3 linked regions of the Macaca mulatta genome follow. The protein of the gene in region 3 purifies or fractionates together with the protein of the main gene of each other region. This does not show direct contact. Links are inferred from orthologs where the notes say so. Each region holds a gene or a part of one and is shown on either strand. Other genes may lie near its edges.

Region 1 (3,595 bases), on a different chromosome or scaffold from region 3:
TGTACTGGCTGTTCAATAAGTATTTGTTAAAGGAAATCAAGTTTAACTATGGTGAGATTCAGAAAGTCAAATACGAGCCTCAATTCTCAAGTTAGAAATAGTTGAATCAGAATAAGGGAAGAAGTTTTTCTAACCAATAATTTTCTATCCAATAATTATCCAATTTATATGCTGACAATCTTTTAACTAAATTCCATACACAGAGTATTTCTAAAATAGTATTCCAATACAAGTAAGCCTTGGTATGATACTGTTTTTGATCATTTAAGAAAATTACAGTGCATGGAAATGAAATGATAGAGTGCTTTTAAGATTTTTGTTAGATCTGATAATGGCATTCTAGATATACAGGATAACTAAAAGGTTTTCATAGTTATATACTCAAGTATATAGGGATGAAATAACATAACTGGGGATTACTTTTAAATACTTTTAAAAAAAAGGGGAAAAGGTAATAGATGAGGTATGGTAAAACTCTGATTGTTATTTATTAGGCCTGGATGATGGTGTGGGGATTAATTATCTAGTCCCCACTGTTGTTTATATTTGAAAGTTCCATTAAGGGAAAAAAAAAAGAAAAACTCACTCCTGAAACACCTGGCTTTATAAAATGTTGCATATAAAAACTACTAGGAAAAGGGGGATGGGGAATTGGAGAGTTATGGAATTTCAACTTGTAGTTAATGAATTTTTCCCAAAAAACAAGGTATTCCAAGAGCTATAAAAATCCAAAGAACACAGCATTTAGTTTTGACTTTTGCTCTAAAGAAAAGCTTTAATGGTTATAAAAAATGGCCAACTTTCCTAGTACCCCCAAGTCTCTGGAAGAATACTTCTTAAACAGTCTCTCCCTTGTTGTCACCCATTGTTACAATAAAGCACAAAGCCACTCAGCAAAGCAGCTGCACAATGCTTACAACAGCTTTTCTCCTGCAGCAGCAATTTTCTAGCATGACGGCAACCAAGTGGCCAGCACAATGGAAGGATAAAACACCTACATTTTTTTTTCAATATATGCATTGCCTACTTTTTAAATTTGTATATACTAAAAGGCTGTGTATTAAGAAAAGTTAAATATATAAGACATCTTTAAAGCGAAGCTATTTGTAAAGCAAAATTCTGTAGGTTTAAAAGTTCTGATTATATACATGTAAACACACCTTACTCTTCAATGGATGCAAATGAGGCACATTCACGTTGCATAAGCCGAGATCTTTATTATAACACTCACCTTGAGATGTTCTCCCATTCAGGGGAAGAAAGGTTCCGAAGAACTTCCCTTTGCCTTAAACCATCACTTGAGGAATCCTCAGGATACTGTCCCCGATTAGAACCAGCGGGCTGCTCTGTGGATTCAGCCACCTAAATAAGTGTAACATGAACACAGAACAAGGGAGCTGATGCAACTGTCTGAAATCAAGCGAAAGGAATTATTTTGCTGTCAAGGGCTTAATGTCTCCTACCCCCCACCTCTGAACGTGACAAAATTAAATAGAAGCAACATTATGTAAAAAAGTCTGACATTTATTACACACAATTTTCAATACACAGATGCTAACATATTCATTTTTTTCCCTACAGTAACGATGCTACACTTTCATTAAAATTTCATTAAAATCTTCCAATGAAGTTGTCATTGGTGAGAAAGCTTCTTGATAATGGTGTTAAACTTACTCATTGCAGAAATCTGACCAACAAGATTTATAAATAGAACCCGGCCCAAACTTTCTAAAATAGTATTCTCATACAAGTAAGCCTTGGTATGATACTGTTTTTGATCATTTTTTAAAAATTACAGTGCAGGGAAATGAAATGGTAAAGTGCTTTTAAGATTTTTGTTAGAATTGATAATGGCAAAATAGGGAATTTCCTATGCTCTGTTCAGATGTTCTAGGAAATATAATGCAAATTTAGAGTGCATCACTACACCAGAATACTAACACCATATATGTGAATAAACATTGTGAAATGAAAAATAAATGTTTTTGTCTGTCACATAGAAGTCTTTAGAGCCAGGTCCAGTCACACATGCCTGTAGTCCCAGCTACTCAGGAGGCTGAGGTAGGAGGATCGCTTGCCTCAGGAGGTTGAGAAAAGCCTGGGCCACATAGCAAGACCATATTTAAAAAAAAAAAAATTCTTTAAAGATCACTTGATAAAGACTCTGATCTTTTCCTATCCAACTAATCATAATGAAAATTTCCAGAGGAAATATATTCACTTTTGTACTCTTTATAAAAATTAATGGCTCCTTTGAAAAAACTTGCTATGTGCTAAATTCAATAAAAATCCAATCAGTGTTAGTTCAGTAATCTCGATACACAGTAACCATAGATCAAATCATATCCCAGAAGATAGTGCAATATGTAACTCCACTTTTCCACTACAGCAGTAATGGAACAATCTGCTACTATGAACCTATCACTTGTGTTGATAATACAGTTTCTAATTCCTAGGAAAGAAACAAAATATTACTTGGTAATAACACCATACAGTCTCTCAATAAAAGTTTTATCCAACTTCTTTTATTACTCCCCTGAAAGTCTGAATGATACAAATTGTTATCATCATGTAGAAGGAGACACACCTTGGCACTGACTTCTGGCATTTTTGAAGGACTCTTCACATTGCACACCAGATGCAAAACATGCCGTTTTTCCTGCTAAAAGTAATAAGAAGGCACTTAAGGACCTGAACCTAACCTGGTGAGTGCTTAAAAACATTCAGAGGTTAATGTGTAAGTGAGGTACCTTTGGAAGCAAGTCCCTGAGACACTGGTGATCCAACAGCAGCTTCCCGGAATAAATTAACCTCTGGTCCTCTGGACGCTGATCATGGAAAGAAAAACACAGGTCAGCATTTCACCCCCAAAAGTTCCTAAACACAGAAGAAACTGTTTTATACAAGTAATTTGATTATGTGTGTTTCCCCCCAGCATCACGGGAAAATACCTGCTCAAAAACCCCACATACAAAACTTCTATTTAGAAAGTGTCTTTAACTGGTCTCTAACATGCAAATAAATACAGAATGGCAAATTATTGGCTGGGCACAGTGGCTCATGCCTATAATTCAAGCACTGTGGGAGGCCAAGGCGGGCGGATCACCTGAGGTCAGGAGTTCGAGACCAGCCTGGCCAACATGGTGAAACCCCATCTCTACTAAAAATGCAAAATTAGCTGGGTGTGGTGGCTTGTGACTGTAACCCAAGCTACTCGGGAGGCTGAGGCAGGGGAATCACTTGAACCCGGGAGACAGAGGTTGCTGTGAGCCAAGATCACGCCACTGCACTCCGGCCTGGGCAACAGAGTGAGACCCTATCTCAAAAAAAAAAAAAAAAAAAAAAAAAAGGCAAATTATCTCCAGTCCAAACCTATGGCAATGTACTTCTTAACTCCCAGGTAAACTGATTCCTGTTACTAAAAGCAACAAACAGCAAACAGGGCACCTACAACCAAATCGAGTTCGGTTTCAGAGAAAACTCAGAGTACTCCCAAGGCCAGCCTTAACCAAATCCACCTAGCAGTGCTCCAAAATAATGTGAAGCTATCCTAAACTGAAGCCTTCACAGATGATTTCTTGGCATACAAATGCAG
Region 2 (4,086 bases), on a different chromosome or scaffold from region 3:
TTACTGAATCCTTGAACCTAACTGGTAAGTTTTGGTTCTGTTTATTGGTTTTATTTTTAGGATAGACTGTTGCTCTGTTGCCCAGGCTGGCCTACAATGGCTTAATCTGGTTCACCCTCTTAAACTGGCCTTCTTCATGCTTCTATTCCTTTGGGGTCCTGTGGCTCAGCCCAACCCCTCTGGGATGCCTCTAGGACTGGCAGATCCAAGGGAGAATTCTGTTTTTAATGTCGTGAGGCTTTGAAAGTTAACATCTTTAAATACTTTTGGGGTCAGATTGGGGATAGTACAACAAAGTACTCCTGGCGGGAGACCCAGGAATTAAAATAGTAGGTTCATTCCAAAAATCCGGATCCCTAAAGAATGAATGAGGCTACAAAATGGCACCTTGCCCCTGCTACCAATGTAAGGTTTTTTTCCTCTGCTTGGTGGCCTTTCAGGTATTTCTAGTCTTGAGTAACTTCCACTTTGCCCTATCTGCCAGAATAAAACTCAGGGCCAGGTGCAGTGGCTCGTGCCTGTAATCCCAGCACTTTGCCAGGCCGAGGCGGGCGGATTACCTGAGGTCAGGAGGTGGAAACCAGCCTGGCCAACATGGTGAAACCCTGACTCTATTAAGAATGCAAAAATTGGCCGGGCGCGGTGGCTCAAGCCTGTAATCCCAGCACTTTGGGAGGCCGAGGCGGGCGGATCACAAGGTCAGGAGATCGAGACCACAGTGAAACCCCGTCTCTACTAAAAAAAATACAAAAAATTAGCCGGGCGCGGTGGCGGGCGCCTGTAGTCCTAGCTACTCGGGAGGCTGAGGCAGGAGAATGGCGTAAACCCGGGAGGCGGAGCTTGCAGTGAGCCGAGATCGCGCCACTGCACTCCAGCCTGGGCAACAGCGTGAGACTCCGTCTCAAAAAAAAAAAAAAAAAAAAAAAGAATGCAAAAATTATCAGGGCATGGTGGGGGTTCCCTGTAATCCCAGCTACTCGGGAGGCTGAGGCAGGAGAACTGCACGAACCCGGGAGGCAGAGGTTGCAGTGAGCCGAGATCGCGCCATTGCACTCCCGTGACGTCACCGCTAACGGGCATGGCGTCACTTTGGAGACCTCGTGTGCTGGCAGAATGAGAAGCCCCGTCCCCGCCCACGCCCACAACGCGGAGTTTAGTCTGCGCATGCCTCGCTCGACACCGCGCTCGTGCGCATGCCCATAAAGGCCAAGGAGGGTGCGCACAGGTCACGTGCGCCGGTGGTCAGCGCGCGCATCGCCTGCCCCGGAAGTGGTCGGCGCGCGGCGCGGCGCGCCTGGGCGCTAAGATGGCGGCGGCGTGAGTTGCATGTTGTGTGAGGATCTAGGGGCCGCCGCGTCGCTCGGGCCCCGCCATGGCCGTCACCATCACGCTGAAAACGCTGCAGCAGCAGACCTTCAAGATCCGCATGGAGCCTGACGAGACGGTGCGGGCCAGGCCAGAGCCCGGGGGCGGGAGTGACGGGTGCCGGGGATGGGGTGGGGGCGGGGAGACTAGGATCCCAACGGGAGGGGCAGGGAGGACGGCGCGGGTCGGCCCTGTCCAGACCCCCGACCTGCCCGACTTTCCTGGACCCCCCGATGGTCCTTAGCCCGGTCCCCAGCGGATCGGACGGCGCTCCTGGGCCGGTCTCCGGGCGAGGCCCCACCCCCGGGCCTCTGGCCAGGTCCCGGCTCCAATGTCAGCGCTCTCGCGGGGCGCGGGAGTCACAGGCTCGGAGGCCTGGGCAGGCCAAGCTCTCCAGGACTGGGCTCCACGTTCTCAGCTTTGCAGGCTTCTCCTGGGGACACTGGTGGTGGAATCTAGGAGTAATGACCAGGAGATAACGAGTAGTGACGACAACAACGATGTTAATGATAATAAAGGGATCTCAGTCTTTATAATTTTGGTGGTCCGTGTTTTTTGGGCGTTTATTTTTTATCAGTCATCGAGTGTTTTAGTGTTGTTTTACTGCTCTGCAGAACGGGCTTGTCATTGAGGACCTCTGACCATTTTACAGATGTGGAAACCTTGGGGTTAAGGAACTTTGTCACAGTCACACATGTAATGTCAGAGCTGGGATTCACATTCGGTTCTGCCTCGTGTGAGCGTCCACTATATAAATATTATGCTGCCTTTTTAGTCAAAAATAGAATTAGGACCTAATTCAAACATAATGACTATTGGGTACTTGGCACTTTTTGCACAGTGAGGGAGACATTGAAGTCCACTTTTTGTAGAAAAGGAAACACACATTTTTTGATCAGCTCAACGGTTTGGCTTTGGGCAAGTTAACCTCTCTGTGCCTCCATTTTCTCAAAATATCAAATGAACCTGTCGCCTGCTGGCTTCCGCCTGTAATCCCAGCACTTAGGGAGGCAGAGGCAAGAGGAGCGCTTGAGCCTGGGAATTCAAGATCATCCTGGCAACACAGTGAGACCCCATTCTCTACAAAAAGAAGAAACAAAAATAAATAAATAAAAGGAGGCCAATTAAATGTATTTCATAGGAAGCTTAAAAGGTATGCCACATACACACTTACAGTAGCACTATTGGCCAGGCATGGTGCCTCATGCCTCTGTAATCCTAATGATTTGGGAGGCGTAGGCAGGAGGATTGCTTGAGGCCAGAAGTTTGAGACCAGCCAGCCTAACATAAGGAGACTCTTATCTACAAAAATAAATTTTTTTAAAATTAGCCTGGTGTGGTGGTGTGCACCTTTAGTCCTAGCTACTCCCGAGGCTGGGTGAGAGTACCACTTGAGCCCAGGAGTTTGAGGCTGCAGTGAGCTGTGGTCGTGCCACTTCAATCCAGTGTGGGCAACAGTGAGATCCTGTCTTTTAAAAAAGAAATATCACTGTGAACTATTAGTCACTGTTATTGTCCAAGATACAGTGTAGAGTGGGGGACTGTCCCCTTTATTCTGTTATCATACTTTATGCCACCTGAAATTAACATTTTCTTCACATTAGTGTTCTCTCATTGAGAGCAGGGACTTGTGTTATGTTCTGTGCTGTGGCCTCCATGTCTAAAACAGCACCTGGCACGTAATAGGTGTTTAGTATAAATAAATACTATGTTGAATGGCATGATGATTGAATGAATTCTTATCTAGCATGCTTTAGATGCTGAGAAAGCTTAAAAATTCCAGCATGCTTGCCTCTCTGCCATCAGGGCTTGCACCTTCTCCGTCCTAAACTAGAAGAGAGAATCTTGGGGTCTCCAGTGACTGTCTGTACTACTTCTTCTAGGTGAAGGTGCTAAAGGAGAAGATAGAAGCTGAGAAGGGTCGTGATGCTTTCCCCGTGGCTGGACAGAAACTCATCTATGCCGGCAAGATCTTGAGCGATGATGTCCCTATCAGGGACTATCGCATCGATGAGAAGAACTTTGTGGTCGTCATGGTGACCAAGGTGGGTGACGTGTGCTGGCTGGGAGGGATGAGCAGGGGAGCTGGCAAAGAGCCTGTGTGCCCAGGAGAGATTAGCCATGAACAGGGCGGGGCCACAGCAGAGCGGGTTGTTGGGTCTGATAGGGTTGCTGATGCCAGCTCCCTTTTTCTTGCTGTCGCAGACCAAAGCCGGCCAGGGTACCTCAGCACCCCCAGAGGCCTCACCTACAGCTGCCCCAGAGTCCTCTACATCCTTCCCGCCTGCCCCCACCTCAGGCATGTCCCATCCCCAACCTGCCGCCAGAGAGGACAAGAGCCCATCAGAGGAATCCGCCCCTACGACGTCCCCAGAGTCTGTGTCAGGGTAAGGCGGGGCACCAGTCCCAGCTTGGGCCCTGTCTTCCTAGCACATTCCAGTGTCCACATAAGTGGCCCACACACCTGGAGGGAGGGCAAGCCGCCAGAAGCCAGGGTCCGATTTCTCTCTCTTGAATTTGCAGCTCTGTTCCCTCTTCAGGTAGCAGCGGGCGAGAGGAAGACGCGGCCTCCACGCTAGGTGGGTGGGTGGTCCCCAGGGCAGAGGCGACTGGGTGCCCCAGCCATCAGCTGGGCCTTGTCTGGGTGCGGGAGGGCCTGGGAGCTGCCCTTTCCTCTTCCTGGTGACCCAGGCTTTTCTGCTCCCTCCACAGTGACGGGCT
Region 3 (4,378 bases):
TTTTCTTATCTTGAGATTTATTAAAGTATTTGTGACCTAATGAGTTTGAAATGCTGTTAAATGTTCAAATCAGTGGTTCTTTGGTGGCTGCTTGGTAGAGGGTGGGGGTAGGGGAATAATTTTTTGTGTGGTTTAACCTAGAGTTAGAAATATATAGATAAATTTGAAATTATTTCTTCTATTTTTCAAGTTCTCTTTCTGAGCATTGCTACATCTTTATTGCTCTTATTTAATCTGTAATGAAATTAGGTAAATATGTCAATGTTTGCCACTACTATTATGTGCCTGTCAATTTCTACCCATACTCTTCCCCAAAATACCTTTCTGTAGTGCATACTTACAAAAATCATCAGAAAATTCAAAATCTTATGAAAGTAGAAAATAAGAATTATTCATAATTTCAGCAAACAGTACTAACAGCCATTAACTTATTTGTGTATAGCCTTTCAGATTTTTTTACACATACGGTTTACATATACAACTAACTGTTCAAAAATTGCTTTTAAAATAAAAATATATTGTATTTTTGATATTGGAACATACATTCTTATATAGTTTTTAACTGTACAGAAATATACAAAGGCAAAATTGAAAATAATCTGTGATTTCCCTATAACTACAGTTTAGTTCATGTATACCTTTAAAGACACTCTATATTTTCTTGTATGGTAATATTATGTGCTCGACTAATCTTATGTAAACAGATATTTAATATATTTAAATAACGTTTTAAATGCTACAATGTATATACATTTTATACATAAATAGTTTTGCATCCTCATACGATTATTAGGCGAATTGTCTAGGTTAGGCATTTCTAAATAAAGGTGTAAACATTCAAAATGCTGATATATATTTTCAAATTGCCCTATGGTTGTAACAATTCACACTTCAACTAGCCTGAGAGTGCATTTTTTAGGGTCCCTGTCAACAACAAGGTTTATCATTATTTTTTTTCCCTGCCAATATGATAAGCCAAAAGTAGAATTTTATTGTTTTAACTTGAATTTTTTTTTATTGCTAGTGAAATTAATCATCTTTTTTAAAATGTCTATTGGCCATTTGCACTCCTTTTGTAAAATGCATGCTCCTGCTCTGTCTTCTTCCCTTCCCCCATTGGGGGTGTTCCTCTTTCTTTTTGCTTTGTCAGAGTTCTTTATTATTCATTTTTCGTCTTATATGTGGGATCGGTTCGATTCAGGCTTTCACCCTTTTACTGCCTTACAGATTGCTAATATACATTCTCCATTGGTCTTTTAATGTGGTTTACAGAAGCTGACTCTCTACCGCCTCCTTCTCTCCGTCCCACCCTCTGCCTCGCCTGCTCTGTACTGTTCTCTTCTCTTCTCTCTCTCTCCCTTTGTTTCGCTCTCTCCCTTTTTTTCTTTTCAGTGCAGAAGTTTTTAATTTTGACCGAGCCAAATCTATCAATCTAGGCCTGGCGCCGCGTCAGCAGAGGGGGCGGGGAGGCGAGCGCCGAACTGGGGGAGGGGAAGGGGCGGGGAGCAGCAGGCGGAGCGGCTGCCAGAGTTGCTGGGAGTGCGCGCGGTCGGATCACAAGGCGGCGGAGGAGGAGGCCCAGAGACCGGAGCGCGGAGACCTCAGCTCGCGGCCTACGCCCAGGCCTTTCTCCACCGGAGGACCAGGGAACCGCAGTCTTCATCAGAGAGGTACCGTGCTCCGCGCTCCCCGCCCGACCCGGCCCAGCCCGCTGCGGCGGCGCCTCCTTCCTTCCTCCTTCCCTCGCTCTCTCTCTTTCGCCCGCCCGCGCCTTCCCTGCCCGCCTGCGTCACCGCGGCCGCCATGGCTGAGAATGGCGAGAGCAGCGGCCCCCCGCGCCCCTCCCGCGGCCCTGCTGCGGCCCAAGGCTCGGCTGCTGCCCAGGCTGAGCCTAAAATCATCAAAGTCACTGTGAAGACTCCCAAAGAGAAAGAGGAGTTCGCGGTGCCCGAGAACAGCTCGGTTCAGCAGTTTAAGGAAGCGATTTCGAAACGCTTCAAATCCCAAACCGATCAGCTCGTGCTGATTTTTGCCGGAAAAATCTTAAAAGATCAAGATACCTTGATCCAGCATGGCATCCATGATGGGCTCACTGTTCACCTTGTCATCAAAAGCCAGAACCGACCTCAGGGCCAGTCCACGCAGCCTAGCAATGCCGCGGGAACTAACGCTACCTCGGCGTCGACTCCCAGGAGTAACTCCACACCTATTTCCACAAATAGCAACCCGTTTGGGTTGGGGAGCCTGGGAGGACTTGCAGGCCTTAGCAGCCTGGGCTTGAGCTCTACCAACTTCTCTGAGCTCCAGAGCCAGATGCAGCAGCAGCTCATGGCCAGCCCTGAGATGATGATCCAGATCATGGAAAATCCCTTTGTTCAGAGCATGCTTTCGAATCCCGATCTGATGAGGCAGCTCATTATGGCTAATCCACAGATGCAGCAATTGATTCAGAGAAACCCAGAAATCAGTCACCTGCTCAACAACCCAGATATAATGAGGCAGACACTCGAAATTGCCAGGAATCCAGCCATGATGCAAGAGATGATGAGAAATCAAGACCTGGCTCTTAGCAATCTAGAAAGCATCCCAGGTGGCTATAATGCTTTACGGCGCATGTACACTGACATTCAAGAGCCGATGCTGAATGCCGCACAAGAGCAGTTTGGGGGTAATCCATTTGCCTCCGTGGGGAGTAGTTCCTCCTCTGGGGAAGGTACGCAGCCTTCCCGCACAGAAAATCGCGATCCACTACCCAATCCATGGGCACCACCGCCAGCTACCCAGAGTTCTGCAACTACCAGCACGACCACGAGCACTGGTAGTGGTTCTGGCAATAGTTCCAGCAATGCTACTGGGAACACCGTTGCTGCCGCTAATTATGTCGCCAGCATCTTTAGTACCCCAGGCATGCAGAGCCTGCTGCAACAGATAACTGAAAACCCCCAGCTGATTCAGAATATGCTGTCGGCGCCCTACATGAGAAGCATGATGCAGTCGCTGAGCCAGAATCCAGATTTGGCTGCACAGATGATGCTGAATAGCCCGCTGTTTACTGCAAATCCTCAGCTGCAGGAGCAGATGCGGCCACAGCTCCCAGCCTTCCTGCAGCAGATGCAGAATCCAGACACACTGTCAGCCATGTCAAACCCAAGAGCAATGCAGGCTTTAATGCAGATCCAGCAGGGGCTACAGACATTAGCCACTGAAGCACCTGGCCTGATTCCAAGCTTCACTCCAGGTGTGGGGGTGGGGGTGCTGGGAACCGCTATAGGCCCTGTAGGCCCAGTCACCCCCCTAGGCCCCATAGGCCCTATAGTCCCTTTTACCCCCATAGGCCCCATTGGGCCCATAGGACCCACTGGCCCTGCAGGCCCCCCTGGCTCCACCGGCTCTGGTGGCCCCACTGGGCCTACTGTGTCCAGCGCTGCACCCAGTGAAACCACGAGTCCTACATCAGAATCTGGACCCAACCAGCAGTTCATTCAGCAAATGGTGCAGGCTCTGGCTGGAGCAAATGCTCCACAGCTGCCGAATCCAGAAGTCAGATTTCAGCAACAACTGGAACAGCTCAACGCAATGGGGTTCTTAAACCGTGAAGCAAACTTGCAGGCCCTAATAGCAACAGGAGGCGACATCAATGCAGCCATTGAAAGGCTGCTGGGCTCCCAGCCATCGTAATCACATTTCTGTACCTGGAAAAAAAATGTATCTTATTTTTGATAATGGCTCTTAAATCTTTAAACACACACACAAAATCGTTCTTTACTTTCATTTTGATTCTTTTAAATCTGTCTAGTTATCAGTCTAATATGATGCATTTTAAGATGGAGTCCCTCTCTCCTACTTCCCTCACTCCCTTTCTCCTTTGCTTATTTTTCTTTCCTTCCCTTCGTCTTGTCTCCCCCCTTCCTCCCTCTTTGTTTCCTTCCTTCCTTATTTCCTTTAGTTTCCTTCCTTACCCGATTTGAATGGTGGGAATCAATGCTGTTTCACTCAAAAGTGTTGCATGCAAACACTTCTCTTTATTCTGCATTTATTGTGATTTTTGGAAACAAGTATCAACCTTCACAGTTGGGTGAACAAGTGTTGTCCTACAGATGTCCAATTTATTTGCATTTTTAAACATTAGCCTATGATAGTAATTTAATGTAGAATGAAGATATTAAAAACAGAGGCAAATTATTTGAAGCTCTCTAATTTGTGGTACGATATTGCTTATTGTGACTTTGGCATGTATTTTTGCTAGCAAAATGCTGTAAGATTTATACCATTCATTGATCTTTTTTGCTATATTTGTATACAGTACAGTAAGCACAGTTGGCACTGTACATCTAAAAATATTACAGTAGAATCTGAGTGTAATATGTGTAACCAAAAT

Evidence for each region.
Region 1: the proteins of UBQLN2 (region 3) and HERPUD1 purify together in Homo sapiens (affinity purification with mass spectrometry; 3 studies listed by BioGRID, with this or other methods). This does not show direct contact. The link is inferred for Macaca mulatta from reciprocal best matches to the Homo sapiens genes UBQLN2 and HERPUD1.
Region 2: the proteins of UBQLN2 (region 3) and RAD23A purify together in Homo sapiens (affinity purification with mass spectrometry; 3 studies listed by BioGRID and IntAct, with this or other methods). This does not show direct contact. The link is inferred for Macaca mulatta from reciprocal best matches to the Homo sapiens genes UBQLN2 and RAD23A.

Annotation. Positions count from the first base shown.
Region 1 is NC_133425.1:52,535,316-52,538,910, reverse strand, and holds part of HERPUD1 (homocysteine-responsive endoplasmic reticulum-resident ubiquitin-like domain member 1 protein), read right to left. Parts: intron 3,008-3,595; coding exon of another isoform or gene 3,002-3,007; intron 2,829-3,001; coding exon 2,751-2,828; intron 2,663-2,750; coding exon 2,588-2,662; intron 1,363-2,587; coding exon 1,232-1,362; intron 1-1,231. UniProt on the Homo sapiens protein: Component of the endoplasmic reticulum quality control (ERQC) system also called ER-associated degradation (ERAD) involved in ubiquitin-dependent degradation of misfolded endoplasmic reticulum proteins.
Region 2 is NC_133424.1:13,511,559-13,515,644, forward strand, and holds the start of RAD23A (UV excision repair protein RAD23 homolog A), read left to right. Parts: upstream 1-1,285; 5' UTR 1,286-1,372; coding exon 1,373-1,444; intron 1,445-3,248; coding exon 3,249-3,410; intron 3,411-3,570; coding exon 3,571-3,752; intron 3,753-3,888; coding exon 3,889-3,944; intron 3,945-4,077; coding exon 4,078-4,086. UniProt on the Homo sapiens protein: Multiubiquitin chain receptor involved in modulation of proteasomal degradation. Binds to 'Lys-48'-linked polyubiquitin chains in a length-dependent manner and with a lower affinity to 'Lys-63'-linked polyubiquitin chains.
Region 3 is NC_133426.1:56,539,259-56,543,636, forward strand, and holds the start of UBQLN2 (ubiquilin-2), read left to right. Parts: upstream 1-1,526; 5' UTR 1,527-1,803; coding exon 1,804-3,238; intron 3,239-3,334; coding exon 3,335-3,678; 3' UTR 3,679-4,378. UniProt on the Homo sapiens protein: Plays an important role in the regulation of different protein degradation mechanisms and pathways including ubiquitin-proteasome system (UPS), autophagy and the endoplasmic reticulum-associated protein degradation (ERAD) pathway.